Mus musculus: one gene and its partners. The protein of the gene in region 1 purifies or fractionates together with the protein of each later gene. This does not show direct contact. Links are inferred from orthologs where the notes say so. Each region holds a gene or a part of one and is shown in the gene's direction. Other genes may lie near its edges. The genes, in order: Irak1, Peli3, Map3k7, Tollip and Irak3.

Evidence for each region.
Region 2: the proteins of Irak1 (region 1) and Peli3 purify together in Homo sapiens (affinity purification with western blotting; 7 studies listed by BioGRID and IntAct, with this or other methods). This does not show direct contact. The link is inferred for Mus musculus from reciprocal best matches to the Homo sapiens genes IRAK1 and PELI3.
Region 3: the proteins of Irak1 (region 1) and Map3k7 purify together in Homo sapiens (affinity purification with western blotting; 5 studies listed by BioGRID). This does not show direct contact. The link is inferred for Mus musculus from reciprocal best matches to the Homo sapiens genes IRAK1 and MAP3K7.
Region 4: the proteins of Irak1 (region 1) and Tollip purify together in Homo sapiens (affinity purification with western blotting; 11 studies listed by BioGRID and IntAct, with this or other methods). This does not show direct contact. The link is inferred for Mus musculus from reciprocal best matches to the Homo sapiens genes IRAK1 and TOLLIP.
Region 5: the proteins of Irak1 (region 1) and Irak3 purify together in Homo sapiens (co-immunoprecipitation; 3 studies listed by BioGRID and IntAct, with this or other methods). This does not show direct contact. The link is inferred for Mus musculus from reciprocal best matches to the Homo sapiens genes IRAK1 and IRAK3.

Annotation. Positions count from the first base shown.
Region 1 is NC_000086.7:74,017,421-74,020,934, reverse strand, and holds part of Irak1 (interleukin-1 receptor-associated kinase 1), read left to right. Parts: intron 1-399; coding exon 400-607; intron 608-969; coding exon 970-1,035; intron 1,036-2,568; coding exon 2,569-2,805; intron 2,806-2,917; coding exon 2,918-3,034; intron 3,035-3,423; coding exon 3,424-3,514.
Region 2 is NC_000085.6:4,940,287-4,944,314, reverse strand, and holds the start of Peli3 (E3 ubiquitin-protein ligase pellino homolog 3), read left to right. Parts: upstream 1-1,222; 5' UTR 1,223-1,377; intron 1,378-2,402; 5' UTR 2,403-2,403; coding exon 2,404-2,555; intron 2,556-4,028. UniProt on the Homo sapiens protein: E3 ubiquitin ligase catalyzing the covalent attachment of ubiquitin moieties onto substrate proteins. Involved in the TLR and IL-1 signaling pathways via interaction with the complex containing IRAK kinases and TRAF6.
Region 3 is NC_000070.6:31,991,607-31,995,120, forward strand, and holds part of Map3k7 (mitogen-activated protein kinase kinase kinase 7), read left to right. Parts: intron 1-106; coding exon 107-237; intron 238-780; coding exon 781-910; intron 911-3,267; coding exon of another isoform or gene 3,268-3,348; exon of another isoform or gene 3,349-3,404; intron 3,405-3,514. UniProt on the Homo sapiens protein: Serine/threonine kinase which acts as an essential component of the MAP kinase signal transduction pathway. Plays an important role in the cascades of cellular responses evoked by changes in the environment.
Region 4 is NC_000073.6:141,888,958-141,892,471, reverse strand, and holds part of Tollip (toll-interacting protein), read left to right. Parts: intron 1-305; coding exon 306-488; intron 489-1,617; coding exon 1,618-1,770; intron 1,771-2,874; coding exon 2,875-2,965; intron 2,966-3,514. UniProt on the Homo sapiens protein: Component of the signaling pathway of IL-1 and Toll-like receptors. Inhibits cell activation by microbial products. Recruits IRAK1 to the IL-1 receptor complex. Inhibits IRAK1 phosphorylation and kinase activity.
Region 5 is NC_000076.6:120,198,785-120,202,974, reverse strand, and holds the start of Irak3 (interleukin-1 receptor-associated kinase 3), read left to right. Parts: upstream 1-1,377; 5' UTR 1,378-1,515; coding exon 1,516-1,648; intron 1,649-4,190. UniProt on the Homo sapiens protein: Putative inactive protein kinase which regulates signaling downstream of immune receptors including IL1R and Toll-like receptors.

The DNA of each region.
Region 1 (3,514 bases):
GGGCTCAGAAGAGCTATAGAAAGTCATATGGCCAGGGAGACAGTGACCCTCTGCTCAATGAACAGCTCTGTTCTGAGTGTCCCTGTGATATTCTTCCTGCCCAGTCCTGTGAATATGGGAACAGGTGTTGCCTGGGACCTCAGAGCTGAGAGTACTTAGGGCTATGAGTACCCCTGCATGGTGCAAGTATACAAATAAAGCCACGGTGGTGAGCAGAAGCCAAACAATGTGAAGGGGCTCAGGGACTGCGGGCCCTCAGACAGCTGGGATGCAATGCAGCCACTTTCCATAAGCAGTACGCCTCTAGTCCAGTTTATCAGGACCATTTGGGTGTAGGGGACAGAAAAACAGAAAGGTAGTAGGACCTGAACTGGTGCCATTCTTCCGTTTGTTTCCAAGTTCTAACGTGCTTCTGGATGAGAGACTGATGCCCAAGCTGGGAGACTTTGGCCTGGCTCGTTTCAGCCGCTTTGCGGGGGCCAAAGCAAGCCAGAGCAGTACTGTGGCCCGGACTTCCACAGTTCGAGGTACCCTCGCCTACTTGCCTGAGGAGTACATCAAGACAGGCCGACTGGCTGTGGACACCGATACCTTCAGCTTTGGGGTGGTGAGCCACCAGCCCTTCTGTTGGCTTGGGGAGGGAAAAGCACCAGTAAGTAAAGTCAGGAAAGCCTAGAGAATTCTAGGCCTAAGGCAGAGGTGAGCCTAGTGGGGAGCTAGCATAGCTTTGGCCTTAGGGATCACCCTGCCTCATACACCTCCCTCTTCCCTTGCACTAAATTGTGGTCATAATTTGCATCCTTTTGCTTAAGCTTGCATCCCATAACAATGCTGCCCTTGCTGGGAGGTGGTCTGTACCTGCCTGTTCCGGGACTACTTTCCCACTAGTCCTGATCCATGCCCATGCTACAAGCCTCTTCTACACACAATTTCTCCCTGCTAAAGTGATGTTGTCTATCCCCCCTCTAGGTAATACTGGAGACCCTTGCTGGTCAGAGGGCTGTGAGGACACAAGGTGCAAAGACCAAGTATTTGGTGAGCCTCCTAAGGTGGAGCATGGAGGGAGGGAGGGGCAGCTGCAGCCAGTGGGTACAGCCCCAGAGGGTGGGATGGTACAGATCCTTTACATTGCCCCACAATAGCCTGCTACTGCTGCTGCTGACTCATCTTTAAAAGTGGGTGAGTCCCAAGCAGTTTCTTTTACCTTGCACGGAAGAACCTATCTTTAGTTTGTACCTAGACCTTGAGGATAGGGATGTAATCTCAGTGGTAGAACCTTATTGCATGCAAGGCCCTGGGTCCTATCCCCATCAAAGGGGAAAAAGAACTTTGACAGGTTCCCCCTCTGCCTTGGACTGGGGATAGAGAGGGGGCTATTCCAGATACCCCGGGGACCAAACCTTCAGTGGAACTTAGAGCAGGGCTGAGTAAAGGCAGTAGGAAGTAGGCAGGCTGTTAAAGTAGCAGCTCCAAGCCATCCTGACCCCTACATTCCTGTCTACCTTGCTGTACACTGAGATAGGGCTAAGGAATAAGAGACCTAAAGCTTAGCATCTGAGTACATGGTTTTGGTTCCAACATTCAAAAATCTGAGGCAGGAGGATTGCCAGGAGTTGGAGGCCAGCTGGGGCTATATAACAAGACCTTCTATCAAAAACAACAACAACAAAATTAGTTGATTATGGTGGCATGTACACTTAGGAGGTAGAAGCAGGGGGGTCAGAAATTTAAAGTTATCCTCAGTAATATAGTAAGTTCAAGACCAGAGTAAGTTACATGGTTCACTGTCTCAAACATACAAAGAAGCTGGGCAGTGCCAGCACATGTCTTTAATCCCAGCACTTGGGAGGCAGAGGCAGGCGGATTTCCGAGTTTTGGCCAGCCTGGTCTACAGAGTGAGTTCCAGGGCAGCCAGAGCTACACAGAGAAACCCTGTCTTTTTTGTTTTTTGTTTTTTGTTTTTTTTAAAAACAAAAAACAAAAAAAGACAAGAGACCTGGGTTTTAGTCCCATCAACACAGTGGTCATGGGTCAAATTCTTGCTCTTCATTGAGCTTCAGTTTCCCATATAGAAAACAGACTTTAACACAGGAACACTATTCCAGCAATTCCTAGGCCCAGAACATGCTTGGCTAATGCTGGGTCGTCACCTTTTACAGAGTTACATCTCCCATTGCTTCTCCAGGATGAAGCCTATTTTTGTCCACTGTTGGGCCCAGTGGGGGATTTAACCAACCCAACAAACTGAACCAGATTCTACCCATCCCTCCTTCCTTTACTGCGTCCATTAGCACATCCCAGCTCAAGTACTGGTTGTTCAGACCCCACGGACCTTGCTAACAGACTAGTAGGTTTGTTGGCATCTGTTTCCCCCACTGCAATGGGATGTCAGGACTGTAAAACACGGCCCAGAGTGTTTGATTTGTGGCTGTTATCAGTAGAGCCCCAGACAGCACTAGGCACACAGTGGTGTTTAATGAACCTAGGGAAAGAAGACCAGAGGACTGAGTGGCAGTGGCCTGGAAGTTTTGGTGGAACCATGCTGAACTGACAGTATTTGTTTTACAGAAAGACCTGATTGAAGATGAGGCTGAAGAGGCTGGAGTGACCCTGAAAAGCACCCAGCCTACTCTGTGGGTGGGTGTAGCCACGGATGCTTGGGCTGCTCCAATTGCTGCCCAGATCTATAAGAAGCACCTGGACTCCAGACCTGGGCCCTGCCCACCCCAGTTGGGCCTGGCCCTGGCTCAACTAGCTTGCTGCTGCATGCACCGTCGGGCCAAGAAGAGGCCCCCCATGACCCAGGTAGCCCTGGGGAGGCCAGTTAACCATGGGGACATAGTGGCCAGCAAGAAAACTTTCGTACTTGCCCTGCTTGATAGCAATAGCTACAAAGTACCTACCTGATCTCTTACAGAGGCAAAACTCCCAACATTCCTTGCTTGCCCTTTGGCTCTATTTGGGGAGGTGCTCTGTGGAACTAAGTGGTAAAGGGCTGCTGCTTTGCTGGATGAGCCTCAGATCCCAGGAACAGGTAGAAGGAAAGGGCTCTGATCATGCCCCTAAGTGGGGGTGCTGTGCCACTCACTACCTTTGTCTTTTTGTCTTACCTTCCACCTCTTCTGGTGATGGTTAAGAATAGAGTTCCTGGCTTTGGTGGCCATGAATCTCAATAGTTCTTGGGATGAGACAAAGGAACAAAGGGCAATGTTTTCTCAGCTGCAGAGTGCACCAGCTTTGTGTTATCTGTCATTCTGTTGGCTGTATGGGGCCTGTGGTATTAACCTGAACATAGGCAAGTCTAGGCCAACCTGAAGCAGCAGAGTAGCTGTGTGGTTTGACCACAGGGTGTCAGATCTAGGCTGCCTTGCCCAGCCAGGAACCCATGCTCTGCCCATCCTGAGAGCCTCTCTCTCCACACAGGTATACAAGAGACTAGAAGGGCTTCAGGCAGGGCCTCCCTGGGAGCTAGAGGTTGCCGGCCATGGCTCCCCTTCCCCACAGGAGAACTCCT
Region 2 (4,028 bases), on another chromosome or scaffold:
GCTGCTTGCTCTTTCAGAGAGCCTGGGTTTTTATTATTATTATTATTATTATTATTATTATTATTATTATTAGACAGGGTTTCTCTGTATAGTCCTGGCTGTCCTGTAACTCACTCTGTAGACCAGGCTGGCCTTGAACTCAGAAATCCGCCTGCCTCTGCCTCCCAAGTGCTGGGATTAAAGGCTTGCGCCACCACTGCCCAGCTCTGGGTTTGATACTTAGCACTGGCATGGTGGCTCACAACTGTTTGTAACTCCAGTCCCAGAGAATTCGAGTTTCTGGCCTCTGTTGGCACCAGGTAGGCATACAAGTGGTGCACAACCATACACGGAAGCAAAATACTCATATACATGAAAATAGATTTAATATAAAAAAAATAATGAGTCGTTCAAGGGCTGGAGATGTTGGTAAGTGGTAAAGTGTTTATCAAGGTGTATGAAGCCATGGGCCAGATCCTCTCTTGGTTCCTTTGTAGCAAGCCATTTCTGTAAATCTGTTTTGTGGCATCGGGGACAGGGGTGACAGGCCACAATTATCGTACCCGCCTTCCAAGGATTACAGGACTTAATTTGCCCAAATTCAACCCAGAGAGCCTGGTACTGACAGAAGAAAGCCTGTGGCCCTGAGGGACCGAGCACCCCAAAGTGGGCTTTCCTTTGAGGCTTTGCAAAGGATAGAAGCATGCTGTTGGGAGGGGAGGTCAGTGATTCATGTCTCTGGACACCAAGGAGGCCAGAGCTCACTGATTGTTGCACAGAGAGAAAGTGGTCGCGCTGAACTGAAAGACAGATCTGCACTCGAGACAACCGCAGTGGCTTTCCTCAGCCTCCACGGGTGATGCACCTTCCTCCGCCTCTTCTAGTAGTTTCCTTCCCTCTGTTTGCTCTGGGCTTCTCTGTAATTCCGAGATTTCCCCATAAAGGAGGCGGGGTCTTGGAGCAGCGGGTGGGCAGTCGCTAGTCTTAGGTTGGGAAAAGGAGCCTCTAGATTACTGTGTGAAAGGAGGCTCCGGTCTCGGGGAGAACCTAGAAGACCCCAGAATGAGGGTGAGGTGTCCGGAGCCTGGAATAAGAGAGGGGTCTTGTAGACAACCTCTTTGGCTTCCCAGACTACAGCCAGGCTTAAGCCGCAGGAGGCGGAGCCTCGGGGTAAGGTGGGGCCTCTAGGGGCGGAGCCGGGGCGGGGCGTGGGGCAAGGGGTGGGGCGTGGAGGTTTGTGTGCACATCCCTCCCTCCTCCGGGCCTCGGGTGTCCCCGTGACGAGGCTGCACCGAGCAGCCGCGGGCCGGGCCCATCCCGCCGCGGCAGTCCCGGGGCGCAGTAGAGGTGAGGCGGGTGGGGGCCAGCAGCACACAGAGAGCCCCAGAACGCCGCCAGGTGAGGCTGGCGAGGTGGGGGGCGGGGGGCTGTGTTGGGCGTGCGTTGGGGGCGTGTTTGAGTATCTGGGGGTGGCGGGGTTAAGAGAGCGGGTCTGAGGGCTGGCGCCTGTGGCTGTTAGCGCGGAGGCGCGTCTCTGCCGTAGGAGTTCTTGGGTATGCTGTGCCAGTCTAGGCACTGCCCGCGGGACTGACAGCGTGCGCGCGCGTATTTGTGAGGGGCCGCCTGGTGTGTATCTGCGTATGCTGTCATTGTGCCCTTCCCGAGCACGGGGTGCAGGCCTGCCTCTGCGCAGACCTTCCAACGTTGGGGCTGTTAACAGCCTGCGGGCGACTGACTCTGCTGCAGGAGGTGCCCGACTGGGGAGCGCCGCCCCCACAGGCCTCCAGAGACCTAAGCGGCCTGAGGACCACAGACAGACACCTGAGGGAGGGAGGGATCTGGAGGCCTGCCTGCATTGCCAGGCTAAGATAGGGAGACTGAGTCAGGTGGGTGGTAAGACAAAGGCAGACAGATAGAGGAAGGATAGAAGTAGGGACCGGAGTGGGGCGAGAACAGGCAGAAAAGGACGTGCTGGGAGGACAGAGAGTCATTGAGAACAGACAGACTGACAGAGGCCTAGACCTGCTGCAAAAAGGGCAATAAGATTAGAATGAAGACAGACACCCAAGAACCTGACAGAGAGCTTAACTGAGGTCTTGGGGTTAAGAGCTTAAGCCAGGAATTAAGTCTGAGTCTAGAGGTCTCTTAAGTCCTGGCTGCCCCTCTGCCAAACACATTCCATCCAAAGTTGGTATATTGCTCTAACCGACCAAACACTCTGACTCTGATTTTGCCATTTGTTTCTTGGTCTTGTCTCACCAGTCTCCCTCCTTGGTATCCCAGCAACCTCACCATTTGGGGGAAAGGAAGTAGTTATAATAACAAGTGTTGACGGACCATTCTTGCCTTGTGTCTAGCCAGAGCCTGAGAGGAGCTGGGGTGGGAAGTTGCAAGGTTCTTTTCTCTTCTCCCACTGTGCTCAGAATGGTGCTGGAAGGAAACCCTGACGTGGGATCCCCCCGGACCTCAGACCTCCAGCACCCGGGGAGCCAGGGCTCTTGCATCCTGTCTTGTCCTGGTGAAGAAGCACTGGCAGGCGAGGAGCCCATCAAGTATGGTGAACTCATCGTTCTGGGGTGAGCCTCCCTAGTCCAGGAGTGATGTGCTTGGGTAACTGTCCCTCAGGTCAGCCAAGATAACAGTGTGCACCGGCTGCTCTCCCAGGACTCTCTGCTTCTTGCCACTTTCCCAGAAGAAGAGCAAAAGTGATCAAACCCATTTCTGTTGTTTTGTTTTGGAGACAGGGTTTCTCATAGCCTTGGCCTGGAACTTGATGAGTAGACCAGGGTAGCCTTGAACTCGGAGATCCACCTGTCTCTGCCTCCCAAGTACTGGGATTAGAGGTATACACCACAACCAGCAGCCGGAGGCAATTCTTAAAGCTGCTCACCACAGTTTGTAATCAGCTAAGAAAAAGAATAGCAAAAAAAGAGTCTGTAAAGCACCTACTGTGTGTAAGTGTGGGATAAAGAATTCTGATTCTGCACAAAAGGTTCCAATTCTACTTCAGCAAGTTGTCAAACTTTCCTGTGCTTTTGTGTCCTTTTTTTTTTTTTTTTTTTTTTTTTTTTTTTTTTTTTGGTTTTTCGAGACAGGGTTTCTCTGTATAGCCCTGGCTGTCCACTTTGTAGACCAGGCTGGCCTCGAACTCAGAAATCTGCCTGCCTCCGCCTCCCGAGTGCTGGGATTAAAGGCGTGCACCACCACGCCCGGCTTGTGTCCTCATTTTGAAGACAAGGTTGATTCTAGCCTCCCAAAGCTTACCTGAAAGAAAGAAAGGTGGAAGAGATTTTTGTAAAGTACATAGACTGGTACTCAGCACATACCAAGCATCTGGGAGGCAGGTAGTACGAAGTTGTGGACATTACTTCATCTCAACCCTCACAAAGATGCTGCGAGGAAGGAGGTGAAGTAAATGAGGCTCAGAGAGGGGAAGTGACTGGTCCAAAAGCACACAGCTCATAAGTGGGAGGGTTGGGATTTGAACCCAGATCTTCTTAATTGTAGGTCTAGCACACTACACTAAGCTGCAGCTCCTCCTCGCATTACAGACGAGAAAGTGGAGGTTATTACAGAGAAATCGATGGGGCTTGCTCTGGTCTTTGCCTGCCTGGACACCTGCATCTTCCATGAAACCCTTCCCCCAGACACAGATGTGTCTCCCTCTGCTGATCCGCTGTCAGATCATGGTGAAGATTAACTATGTAGCACTGGCTGTCACTTGGTCACTTTTATGTGCCACCTTGCCTTTTTTCAAATACCCACAATAGCCAACTCATATCAAGACCTTGCTATAAGAGTAGCAAACTCTATCAAGCATTTTAAAGCACTTTATCTTGTTTAGTTCTCAAAATCAATATTCCAAGTAGGTTCTGACAGATGAGTTCCATTTTATAGAGGTTGTGTGATGAGTTGAAGAGTGGATGTGTGCCAGGCTCCTGTGAGCCCTCAGCCTGTATCCTGGCCTGTCTCCCTCTAGGCTTGCCACTGCTGGTACGTGAGAAGTGCTCACAAGGGTAAATGAGATGTTCCTCATGGAGGAGCGTATA
Region 3 (3,514 bases), on another chromosome or scaffold:
TTTTCACTGGTGTAGAAGTCTTATTTTTACATATGTCTTGTCCACTATTGAATAAGGCATTCATATTATTCCCAGCCTGTAGTCTGAAATGTGTCTGCTTTTCTAGGCTCATTCATGGACATTGCTTCTACAAATACCAGTAATAAAAGTGACACAAATATGGAACAGGTTCCTGCCACAAACGACACTATTAAACGCTTGGAGTCAAAACTTTTGAAAAACCAGGCAAAGCAACAGGTTTGTTATTAAAAGTAAAATTGTATGTTTTCTTTACTAGTAGTCACAACATTATACTAAAGTTATAGATTATTTGCAATCTTCTGATATGTAACAATCCTGAGTTTTCTTTCTGTACCAGACAAATAAGCTTGTGGTAAGAGACATGAAATTTTGCTGTCATTTTTTACCAAACAACTTGTTTTCCTTTCTCCTGTCTGTTGCTGTTGTTAGCCCTGCCCCTTCCTCCCTGTGACCCATCTCTAACTAAGGGTCCTACAAACAGTGTGAAATGTATTTAGGTTCTATGGACCAGTTAAGTTCTCACAAGGCTGTCATCCTGTTAGGTTGGTTGTATTACGGCTGTTGTTGGTAATAAGTGATTGCTTTGAGCCGTGTATATCTGAGCCTGCTGTGCTTTACTAGGTCCCTCCGTTATAAGGTTCCCTGCTTCAGAACAGCACCATCAGCATGAAAAGCCACTTGCCATCTTCATCCTGGGCTGCCCAGGATCTCTACAGGAAAAGATCCTCAGTAACTGAGATTGACCTGTAATCCTAACAGAGTGAATCTGGACGCCTGAGCTTGGGAGCCTCTCGTGGGAGCAGTGTGGAGAGCTTGCCCCCCACTTCCGAGGGCAAGAGGATGAGTGCTGACATGTCTGAAATAGAAGCCAGGATCGTGGCGACTGCAGGTAAAGGGGCTGCAAGCCCAAAGAGAAAATGCCTATGGTTTTACATGGTACTCGCGGTTGTATTCAATAGGGCCGATGGGTCGTGTCTTATATCTGCTTTCTAAAAACAGATGGTGGGTTCACGGTGTTTTCTAAGCTTTCAGCAGTAAAGGTTTTGGTTCAAATTTTAAATAGACAAGTATGGCTTAAAATGTATTTGGATTATAAAATACACTTCCTAGTTACAGACTTTCAAATGTAACAAATATATCAAATATATTTCTCCTCAAACATAAACAAGCTTCAGAAATCAAACTTTCACCAATACCAGAGTATTTTCTATGGCTGAGTAATTCCAGTGTTTTTATGCTGAGCCCAAGAAACGAAACATGATTGGCAGGAAATTGTGCCCCAGGAGCTGTTGTCCTGCTCTTCCTGCCAGCGGCCAGAGTCGCCCAGCTAGCTGTTTGCTTATCTGATGATAGAATCAATAGTAGTAGTTTCATCAGACGTTGGCTTTGATAGTGTTTAAATTTCATTTTGTCAGCTCTTAAAATGTACAATAGACAACGTAGCCAGAATTAAAAAGAATGGCATTTTGTCACCTGGTGAACCAGCACCTTTTTTAAACCGGGTTTCACTTTAGTGGTGCCAATTTAATTTGAGTCTTATTTTGTTATTTCTGATCTTCCAAGGTTAGACAAGAGTGAATTGTAAAAATGAGCATTGTATTGGAGCATGTAAAAGTGTAAAACAAATAACAGTAAAAACTTGATAAATTCTCCTCTTCGGGGGATAGTTTCGATGTATCTGCATATCTTTTAATTATATATACAGAGTTTTAAAAAAAATGTAAACGGAGATGTTTTCTAAGTAAAATGTTCTGATTGTGTGTGTTCTCTTTGTAGAGAGTGGCATCCAGATGAACTGTACTGTACTTGTCTAAACTAATCACAGTCACTGATTTATCAACCTGCACTAAAAGCCTTTAGATAGGAAGGACTGTCTGAAGAGACAGTGTTTAAACACTAAGCTATTGAGCCCACAGAGACAAGTCTAGATTTGCCTTGTGGTCTTTAGGCACTGGTTTTCTATCTCTGTGTCACAATCTCTGTTGTTTAACTTCTATCCTCAAGGTTACCGTGTGGTCCAAAATGGTTGTGACAGCTCAAGCCGTCACTTCACTGCTCAGGTAGCAGGAAAGAAAAGGAAACAGAAGGGGGGAAAGCTTTTGAAACCAATTTCTGCAGCTTCCACACTCATTCCACAAGGGGTCTGAGCCATAGCTGAAATTGCTGCATTAGTAAAGTCAGAGCCCATGCTAAGGAGAAGAAAAGACTAGAAATGAGTGGGGAAATAGCTGTCTCCACCTGAGATAAATCCTCAGAAAACGTCAGGTTCAGTAGAGGTCAGTGCCCATCACTGGTCTGCTGGTCTCCATGAAGCACAGATGTCTGTAGACAGAGACATACTGCCAGCATTGTTGGGGGTCCACTTCAGTTCAGTTATCATCCAGAATACACACATAATGTTGATTCTGCCCTGAAAGGGGAAGTAATGTTTTCATAATAGTTTAGGATTTTGCTAAGCCTGTTTTTCTAATCAGATACAGATTTGTAATTACATATTATAAGAATGACATTTTTCCAGTTTAAGGATAATCATACATAAAATTAGTTTGTCCTCTCTACCTAAATGTAAGACAATACATCCTTTGAATTTTAAATAATTTGAATTTTTAATGAATTATCTTACTTTGAAAGGTTCATATTCCAGCTTTTGACAGTCTTCCTGTTTAACAGTTATATACTCTAAACGTTTAAAATTGTAATAAATATTCAGTTTATTAGAAACACTGTAGATAAACTTAGGGAAATATGTTTTAATGCTTTGGTATGATGACTGTTGATAATCACGGAATTTGATTTATAGCACACTCCAGGACGCACCTAACTTAGGATCTTCCTGCTCCTGTTTGTGTCGTAAGCACAAACATGGCAGCTTGTCTTACTAACTCCTGCACCTCCTGTCCTGCCGTCCCTCCCGTCACCTCATACCACTGATTTTACTTAGGTACACTATTTCTAAGAACACATCGGAAATTTAGCTTCTTCAGTGTCCTGCAGCTTTGTCTCTCTCTATTTGTTGTTGGGTTTTTTTCCTGCTAATTAAAACCAGTGTGTAAAACTTCTGAAACTCTTTGCTCTTTAACGTCGCCTCCCTAAGCATGGACGAAGAGTTAGATAGTTCTGCATGCCCTTTTTTTTTGCATGAGATGGATTCACACAACTATTTCAGAACTGTTCTGTTGTGCAGTCATTTCCTGTGTTACTGTGTGTGGTTGTTTGCATGTATACTGTACATGTGTGTTTTTTCAGCCTATTCCAAGCCTAAACGGGGCCACCGTAAAACCGCTTCATTTGGCAACATTCTGGATGTCCCTGAGATCGTCATATCAGGTACCATAGACCACCTGTGTTGGTGTAACGGCTGTGGAACTGGATTCATGATCCCGGTACTTTTAAATGCTTCTTGCTCCAATTTGCATAGGATATGAACAAATACCTCTCATGCTGTACCCAGGGAGATGGAGAGAAAACTGTAGATTGCCACACAAAAACCAAT
Region 4 (3,514 bases), on another chromosome or scaffold:
ACCGCACTTCCCATTCAACCTCAGCTCCGTGCTGAGGCCTAGGATGCGCACACTCAGTGCAGTGTCAGAGGAGAGGTCTTGTCTTACTGCTCACAGGTGTTGCCAGGTATGGCTAGGTTCCAGGGGCATGAGTCCAGGAGTGACTGGCAGCATGTTCAAGAGCAGGTTACTGACACGATTAGGTGAACTTGAAGGCTGTTTTTTCACACACTGGGAAATATCTGTAAGAAAAGCAGTTTACAGATGCACTGGCCTTTGTCTCTGCTGGTGAATGCCACATTTTTCTAAATTTGGTGTTGTTTCAGGCAAAATTGGCAAAGAATTATGGCATGACTCGTATGGACCCTTACTGCCGTCTGCGTCTGGGCTATGCTGTTTATGAAACTCCCACAGCACACAATGGGGCCAAGAACCCTCGCTGGAACAAAGTCATTCAGTGCACAGTGCCCCCAGGTGTGGACTCGTTCTACCTTGAGATCTTCGATGAGGTGAGAGATGCCCCAGTGTTACAGACCTGTCTAGTTTGGGATCTGACAGACATGGGTGTGCTGTAGTGTGCCTTGTGGGTTTAGTCATGAAGCTGTTCTCCTGGTGCTCAGGCCCTGTATACATACCTAGCATTTAGTGACTGGTGACAGGGTGTGACCTGCCTGGACACCTGGCATTTAGTGGCTAAATGACAAGCTACAGATTTTTTCTCTCAGTTCCTTTGACAGTGTCCATTGGGAGCCATCACCAGCAGTAGAAGCATGAGTAGAGTGTGAAAATAGATGTTCACGGGCACGTCAGATTTCAAGCAAGTCAGGCTCCACTCGTGATGGGAGCACTGTTCTTGTAGGCATGAGTTCCAGGCTCTGCCAGTAATGTCCCATGGCTGTTCCAGCAGTTAGGCATGCAGCTTTTTGAGGGCAATCAGGAAACTCAGGTGGAAGATGTCTCCTTGTAGCTTAGCTGTGGAGGTCATATGCTTGTTTCCTTGAAACAGCAAAGGGCAGTGGGAAAAAAATGGAGGCATGAGAGCCAAAGAGGACATTGGCATGGGAGGCCCAGTGAGGGGACACAGTTTCTCCTTTGTCTTGACCCTCTGCCTCTTGCTCTACTTTCTTCTTGTTTGTTTGTTTAGTTGGTTGGTTTTGTCCCTTTCTCCTCCTTCTGTGTCTGAGAATAGTAAGGATATGAGAAGGAGGTTTGGGGCTGTGGGTGGTGGCTTGGAGCTCTTGTCCTCATCTGTACCTACTGGGCTTGATACTTGCTTCTTATATCTAGTGGATTAGGAGTAAGGGCCCAAGGACTGGGGAAGATAGTGTCCATCCCTGAACAAGGATGACAGCCCAGAGATTCTTTATTGTCCTTTGGCCTGGCCTCATGGTTGTTACTCAGAAGATGCAGAAATGGTGGTGGCCAGGTCTAGGTGATCTATGGAGGTCTGGCGTTATGGTTTAATGGGAAGCTCCTTGACGGAAGATGGAGCAGTGAGGAGGAACCTCTCCTGCCAAGAAGATAGAAGGTAGATGCAGGCACCAGTCCAGGTGGAGTCACAGCCATAGGAAAAGCTCGTCTCTATAACATGGGTTGTTGTGGGCCATGATGAGGTCATTTTACTCTTGTCTTCCTCAGCGCGCCTTCTCCATGGATGACCGCATAGCTTGGACCCACATCACCATCCCCGAGTCCCTGAAGCAGGGCCAAGTGGAGGACGAGTGGTATAGCCTGAGTGGGAGGCAGGGCGATGACAAGGAGGGCATGATTAACCTGGTCATGTCCTACACGGTGAGTTCACTGTCCGGAGAGGCCATCCTCAAAGAGGTTATGGCACCTCCTTGAGGCAGCTATGGCTCCCAGAATCCCAGAACCTTGGGAAGTCATGGGAGGCAGGGCTGGGCATCTGAGCTCCCAGTGTCTCCTTTGTATTATCTAGGCCTTTCATTTTAGTTGTTGCAGAGTCTTTGAGAACAGGGGAGTATAAAGCACTCTGATGCAGGCCTCCTCAGCTTGACCATCCTACATGCCTCTCCTGGTGTTGAGTGTTACCTGTCTTTAACAGGTGCTTTATGTAGCATAGGTCCATTTTACACTATCGCATCTACAGTTCAAGATTATTAGAGCTGGTCCAGGAGAGGTGGCTTAACAGGTAAGAGCACTGCTGCTCTTGTGGAAATTTCCAGGTTTGATTCCCAGCCTCTACATGGTGGCTCACAACCAACTGTAACTCCAGTTCCAGGGGATTCAGTACCTTCACTGGCATCAGGCACACACATAATGCACATATATACATGCACACAGAACACTAAGACATATTAAACAAACAAACAAACCAATTCAGTATTTCTGAGAGAAGCTTCTGATACTTATGCAGTCTCCAGAACAAACCGTGAAGGGGGCTGTGTGAGAAGCGGTGGTGGTTGCAGCTCATGTGAGGCCAGTAGTTGATATCATTTGTTTTCTTTAATCTTCACCCTGACTTTTGTTCTCACTGAAACTGAATCTCATTCCTCTAGATTGGCTGGCTAATGAACTTGAGGGATCTTCTTGTCTATGACTCCCTATCCCTTGGATTATAGATATGAGCTACCAAACATGGCTTTATGCATAGATGCTGGGGATTGAACTCAGGTCCTCATGCTTGTGCACCACTTTCCTAACTGAGCTAGGAGTCTGCAGCCCAAGTTGTCTAGCTGAAGGGAGGCAGTCTGCGGGAGTGTTGGTACAGATGAAACCAGAGGCCAGGAATACTACATTCTTGCTGAGGACTCCATGTCTTGGGTGTTAATGTCTGGGCTGAGGCTAGGACCACTCCTCTGATACCAGAAGTAACAAGATTGACATATGGTGTGGTCCTCCTTGACTGACATGTTTTTCTTTGTTGTGTTTCAGTCCCTCCCAGCTGCCATGATGATGCCTCCTCAGCCTGTGGTCCTGATGCCAACTGTGTACCAGCAGGGTGTTGGCTATGTGCCCATTGCAGGTGTGTACTGCTTCTTTGGTAGGCAGTCCTGGGACAAAGTAGGACAGGAGGAGGGAAGGGCCTGTGAAGCTTGAGTAGTGTAGAATTGTGTAAGCATGGCTGCTTTAAATGAGGATCCTTCTAAAACTTATTCCAGTGTCATATCTGAATTATTTATGCATACATAGGCAATAGTGTTTGCCCTAATTATTGCCACAAGTAAGGTGAGTTGAAATTTTTGGAGTTGTAGAAACATTGTCATTTTTATGAATGAGTTACTGGAATAAGACAACCTGGTTCCTGTTAGACAACACTCACCCTGAGCACCTACATCTTAAAAGAAAATCATGGCTTTCATTGAAAGTATTTACCCATATAAATTAATAGCTGCTTGGGTCATAAAGTCAAGATGTGGCTTTTATGTATTTTTTTAAATTTCTAATCTTCCTGTGGCTTTCACAGTGCCTGGTATCCAACTCGTCCTCCTACCAGAATAGGGCAAGCCAGATGAGCAGATGAGATCACACAGCTCCTTTCTTGGCTTCAGCCAACAGGAAAAACTGTGGCTCT
Region 5 (4,190 bases), on another chromosome or scaffold:
TCCTTGCCTCATGCCGCATTAGAAGACCTGGTGATGCAAACATTTTGAGTGTTACTGTTATTGTTATAGTGAGGATATTAAACATCCTCTGACTGCCCATATACTAAAAGCTTGCTTGCCAGCCTACAGTGCTGATAGGCGACTGAACCGGAACCAGATAGGTCTTAGTGCAAATAAATCAGATCCCTTGAAGGGAATTTGGTACCCTGGCCCTGTCCCCCTTCCTCCCTCCCTCTCTCTCATTTCCTGCCGCCATGGATCACTTACGCTATGACACTTTGGCTTCTCAGAGACCTCAAAAGACATTGGGGTCAAGCAACCATGGACTGAAGTTCCGAGGTTGTGTACCAAACAACTTCTTCTTTTGAAGCTGCTCGGTGGGGGCATTTTGTCAGAAAGCTAACACAACCACACATGGCGATTTCCTGTGCAGGCACACGTCTCAGGTTGCTTTTGTCTGGTCTAGAAAGTCAAAAAGAACCCTGTATCAATCTTCTCTCCCTCTGATGCTCAGCATGGTGGCATAGAGACCCTTTTTGGGGTGTAGCCTGATAAAACCGTAGTCCTTAGAATGAGGAGACTTAAGAAGTTTTGCTCAAACAGTTCTAACTTTGCCACTGTGGGTACTGAATGCCCAGGCACCATTGCTGCTGACCGCCAGGGGGCGCCATTCCAAAGACAAGCTCAGGGGATTGAAACAGGAGTTTGTTTTTCAGTGCCTGGTTATCATAAAATCTCCCACTTCATTTTCCCACCTCCTTTGTCAGTAGTATCCGTACCGTTCCTGCGGTGGTCATTACAGCATAAACGGTAGAATATTTCAACACACCAGCCAATGTTTCCTAAACTTCATTTTGCAAACTCGTTGAAGCACTGCGAGGAAAGAAAGGGAGACTGTAGTAAAACCAAGCGGCACGACGGCAGGGGTTGCCTTCTGCAGCAAGGATGAGCAGTTTGTTTGCCCAGGTTTGGCCTGTTTGTTGTGGTTTTCTTTTTATGTCCATTTCGCCCGGCGTGTACACGTTTCCTTCCGTTTAAAGTTATTTGGCAAAAACGTGTTTCTCGGTGAGCACGCATTTCTTTCCTGACGGGACAAAGAGAAACTTTAAAAGATGTAACACAAACCTCTTAGATCCATCGTGGCCAGGAGGCCGCCCGTCCCAGAGCAGCAGAGGGGTGGCGGCTTTCCCGGATTCCAGCCGCTGTTCCCCGCCCTCATTTTCTTGGCTGGTCTCCTGGGTCATGTCCCAAGACGGGGACGGACAGAACGGTTCATAACAAAGATGACCTGGGGTGCGGCGCGCAGGGTCGCGGGACAGCGGCTAGGAGCAAGGGCAGCCCAGGTCTCGCAGGGCGCATCCCTGGGGAGCGGCTCCCTACGTCACGTGGGGCCCGCCCTGCGACGGCGTGTTGCAAGCTCCGGGCAGCCGTCGTGGAGCTGAATTTCCGCGGTTGTGAAAGGCGGTGACAGCGGCGACCTCCCTGCTTCTCTGCGTGGGGTCCCGGGACTCCGCGATGGCCGGCCGGTGCGGGGCCCGTGGCGCGCTGTCGCCACAGTTGCTGCTCTTCGACCTGCCGCCCGCACTGCTGGGAGAGCTTTGCGGGATCCTGGACAGCTGCGATGGCCCGCTCGGCTGGCGGGGCCTGGGTGAGTGCGACTCAGACCTGCCGGTCCTCCCCCGCGAGGGACTCAGCAAACCCGGGGACCTGCCACTCACTCTCCTTCCCTCTCTGACAGTGGGGTACTGCTGTATCAAGTTAGGGGATTGGGTATGTCAGATGTCAAGAAAGCATCCCGTGCTGGGAAGAGATTCTCGCTTCACTCGGTTTGCAGTGTGCGCAGCAGTATGCAAATATTACCGTATGCAGGGCATGGCTACTGGCTCTACAACCCCTACATCAGATTTTTTTAATATTATAACTTCTTTTTTGAGATGCCGCTCAGTTGCTAGAGTGCTTACCTATAGATGTATGAAGCTGCATGTTCGATTCCCTAGCTTGGAATAAAACAGACAGTGGTAGTGCCAGTCATTGAGAGGTAGAAGTAGGCAGGACAGATGCTCAAGAGCATCCTCTCCTTGTAGAGAGTTCCTAGCTGGCTTGGGAAACATGAGACGCCATCTCAAAAACAAAAAGCAAACTTACTTTCTTTTCTTTCCTTTCTTTCTTTCTTTCTTTCTTTCTTTCTTTCTTCCTTCCTTCCTTCCTTCCTTCCTTCCTTCCTTTCTTTCTTTCTTTCTTTCTTTCTTTCTTTCTTTCTTTCTTTCTTTCTTTCTTTCTTTCTTTCTTTTCTCCTTTCCTTCTTCCTTCCTTCCTTCCTTCCTTCCTTCCTTCCTTCCTTTCTTTTAGAACTTTAAGATATCTATTCTTTGGTGTTTTTTGTGTGTGTATCCCACACTCCTCCCGCATCTAGAAGACAAATTCCAGGAACCAGTTCTCTCCTTCCACCACGGGATCCTGGGACAGAACTCAGATGGCATGCATAACCCACTTCGCTGTTTCCAATAAGTCTCCAATAATCTATAAGGGAAATGCTGTTTGCGGTGGATGTGATTTCCACTTTTCTTTCTTTCTTTCTTCCTTTCTCTCTCTCTCTCTCTCTCTCTCTCTCTCTCTCTCTCTCTCTCTCTCTTTCTTTCTTTCTTTTTAAGATTTATTTATTATATGTAAGTACACTGTAGCTGCCTTCAGACACTCCAGAAGAGGGCACCAGATCTCGTTACGGATGGTTGTGAGCCACCATGTGGTTGCTGGGAATTGAAGTCAGGACCTTCCGAAGAGCAGTCAGTGCTCTTTAACCACTGAGCCATCTCTCCAGCCCCGATTTCCACTTTTCTTAATTAAATGTTTTTTGCTTATTTGCCAAATCTACTGCAATAAAATTGTAAAGAAAGCCTCTTCATATTAATCTCAAAAGTTATCTTCAAATATCCATTTTATGCAGATTTGGTAAACTGAGCAACTACATATTGTAAAGTGGTGATATAGTAACAAAAAAGCTCAGCCGGGCATGGTGGCGCACGCCTTTAATCCCAGCACTTGGGAGGCAGAGGCAGGCGGATTTCTGAGTTCAAGGTCAGCCTGGTCTACAGAGTGAGTTCCAGGACAGCCATGGTTACACAGAGAAACCCTGTCTCGAAAAACAAACAAACAAACAAACAAACAAAAAGCTCAGGCAAAGTCTATGCTTTGTTAAATACAAGTGTTCTCTTTGGAGTTAGATGATAACTCATGCTGTTGTAGTTAATGTTACTTGAAAATACACATGAGTATTTTAAAGCAGCTTTATCTAAAATAGTGGTTTTTTTCCTTTGTGGTTGGCAAACAATATGCTTATAATTTCTGAAACTGTAACAGTTATGTAAAAATGGTTTGGAGAATGGGCTTAGGGTAATTGTTCAGTCATAGACTGCTTTCTTCAAATGAGGAAAGTCCTTGGCTCCATCCTTGGCTCCTAAACAATTTCTTCAGTGAACATCTCAGAAAAGGCTACTTGGAATCAAGTCTTCCCGACTTCAGGAAGACGAAGCTGTTTCCATTTCCAGCCTTCATTTGAGAGAGAAGATTCCTCTCCTATCAGATTGTTCCCTATTCAAGCTAGATCATGGCATAGTGAGTATTTGCGTATATAGACTTACTAAAATTACTGCATTTTTTAATACATCTTTTTTATTGGATATTTTCTTTATTTACATTTCAAATGTTATACTCTTTCCCGGTCCCTGCCCCCCCGAACCCCTTTTCCTCTCCTCCCTCCCCCTGCTTCTATGAGGGTGTTCCTCCACCCACCCACCCACTTCTGCCTCCCCATCCTCAATTCCCCTACACTGGGGCATCTATAGAACCTTCATAGAACCAAGGACCTCTCCTCCCATTGATGCCTGACAAGGCCATCCTCTGCTACATATGCAGCTGGAGCTATGTGTACTCCTTGGTTGGTGGTTTAGTTCCTGGAAGCTCTGGGGCTGGGGAGGGGGAGTCTGGTTGGTTGATATTGTTGTTCTTCCTATGGGGTTGCAAACCCCTTCAGCTCCTTCAGTCCTTTCTCTAACTCCTCCATTGGGGACCCTGTGCTCAGTCCAATGGTTGGCTGTGAGCATCCACCTGTGTATTTGTAAGGCTACTGCGTTTTCAAGAACAATATTTTTGGTACAGTGCTCAAGTGCGGATGGGGCCAGGTCATGTCATAG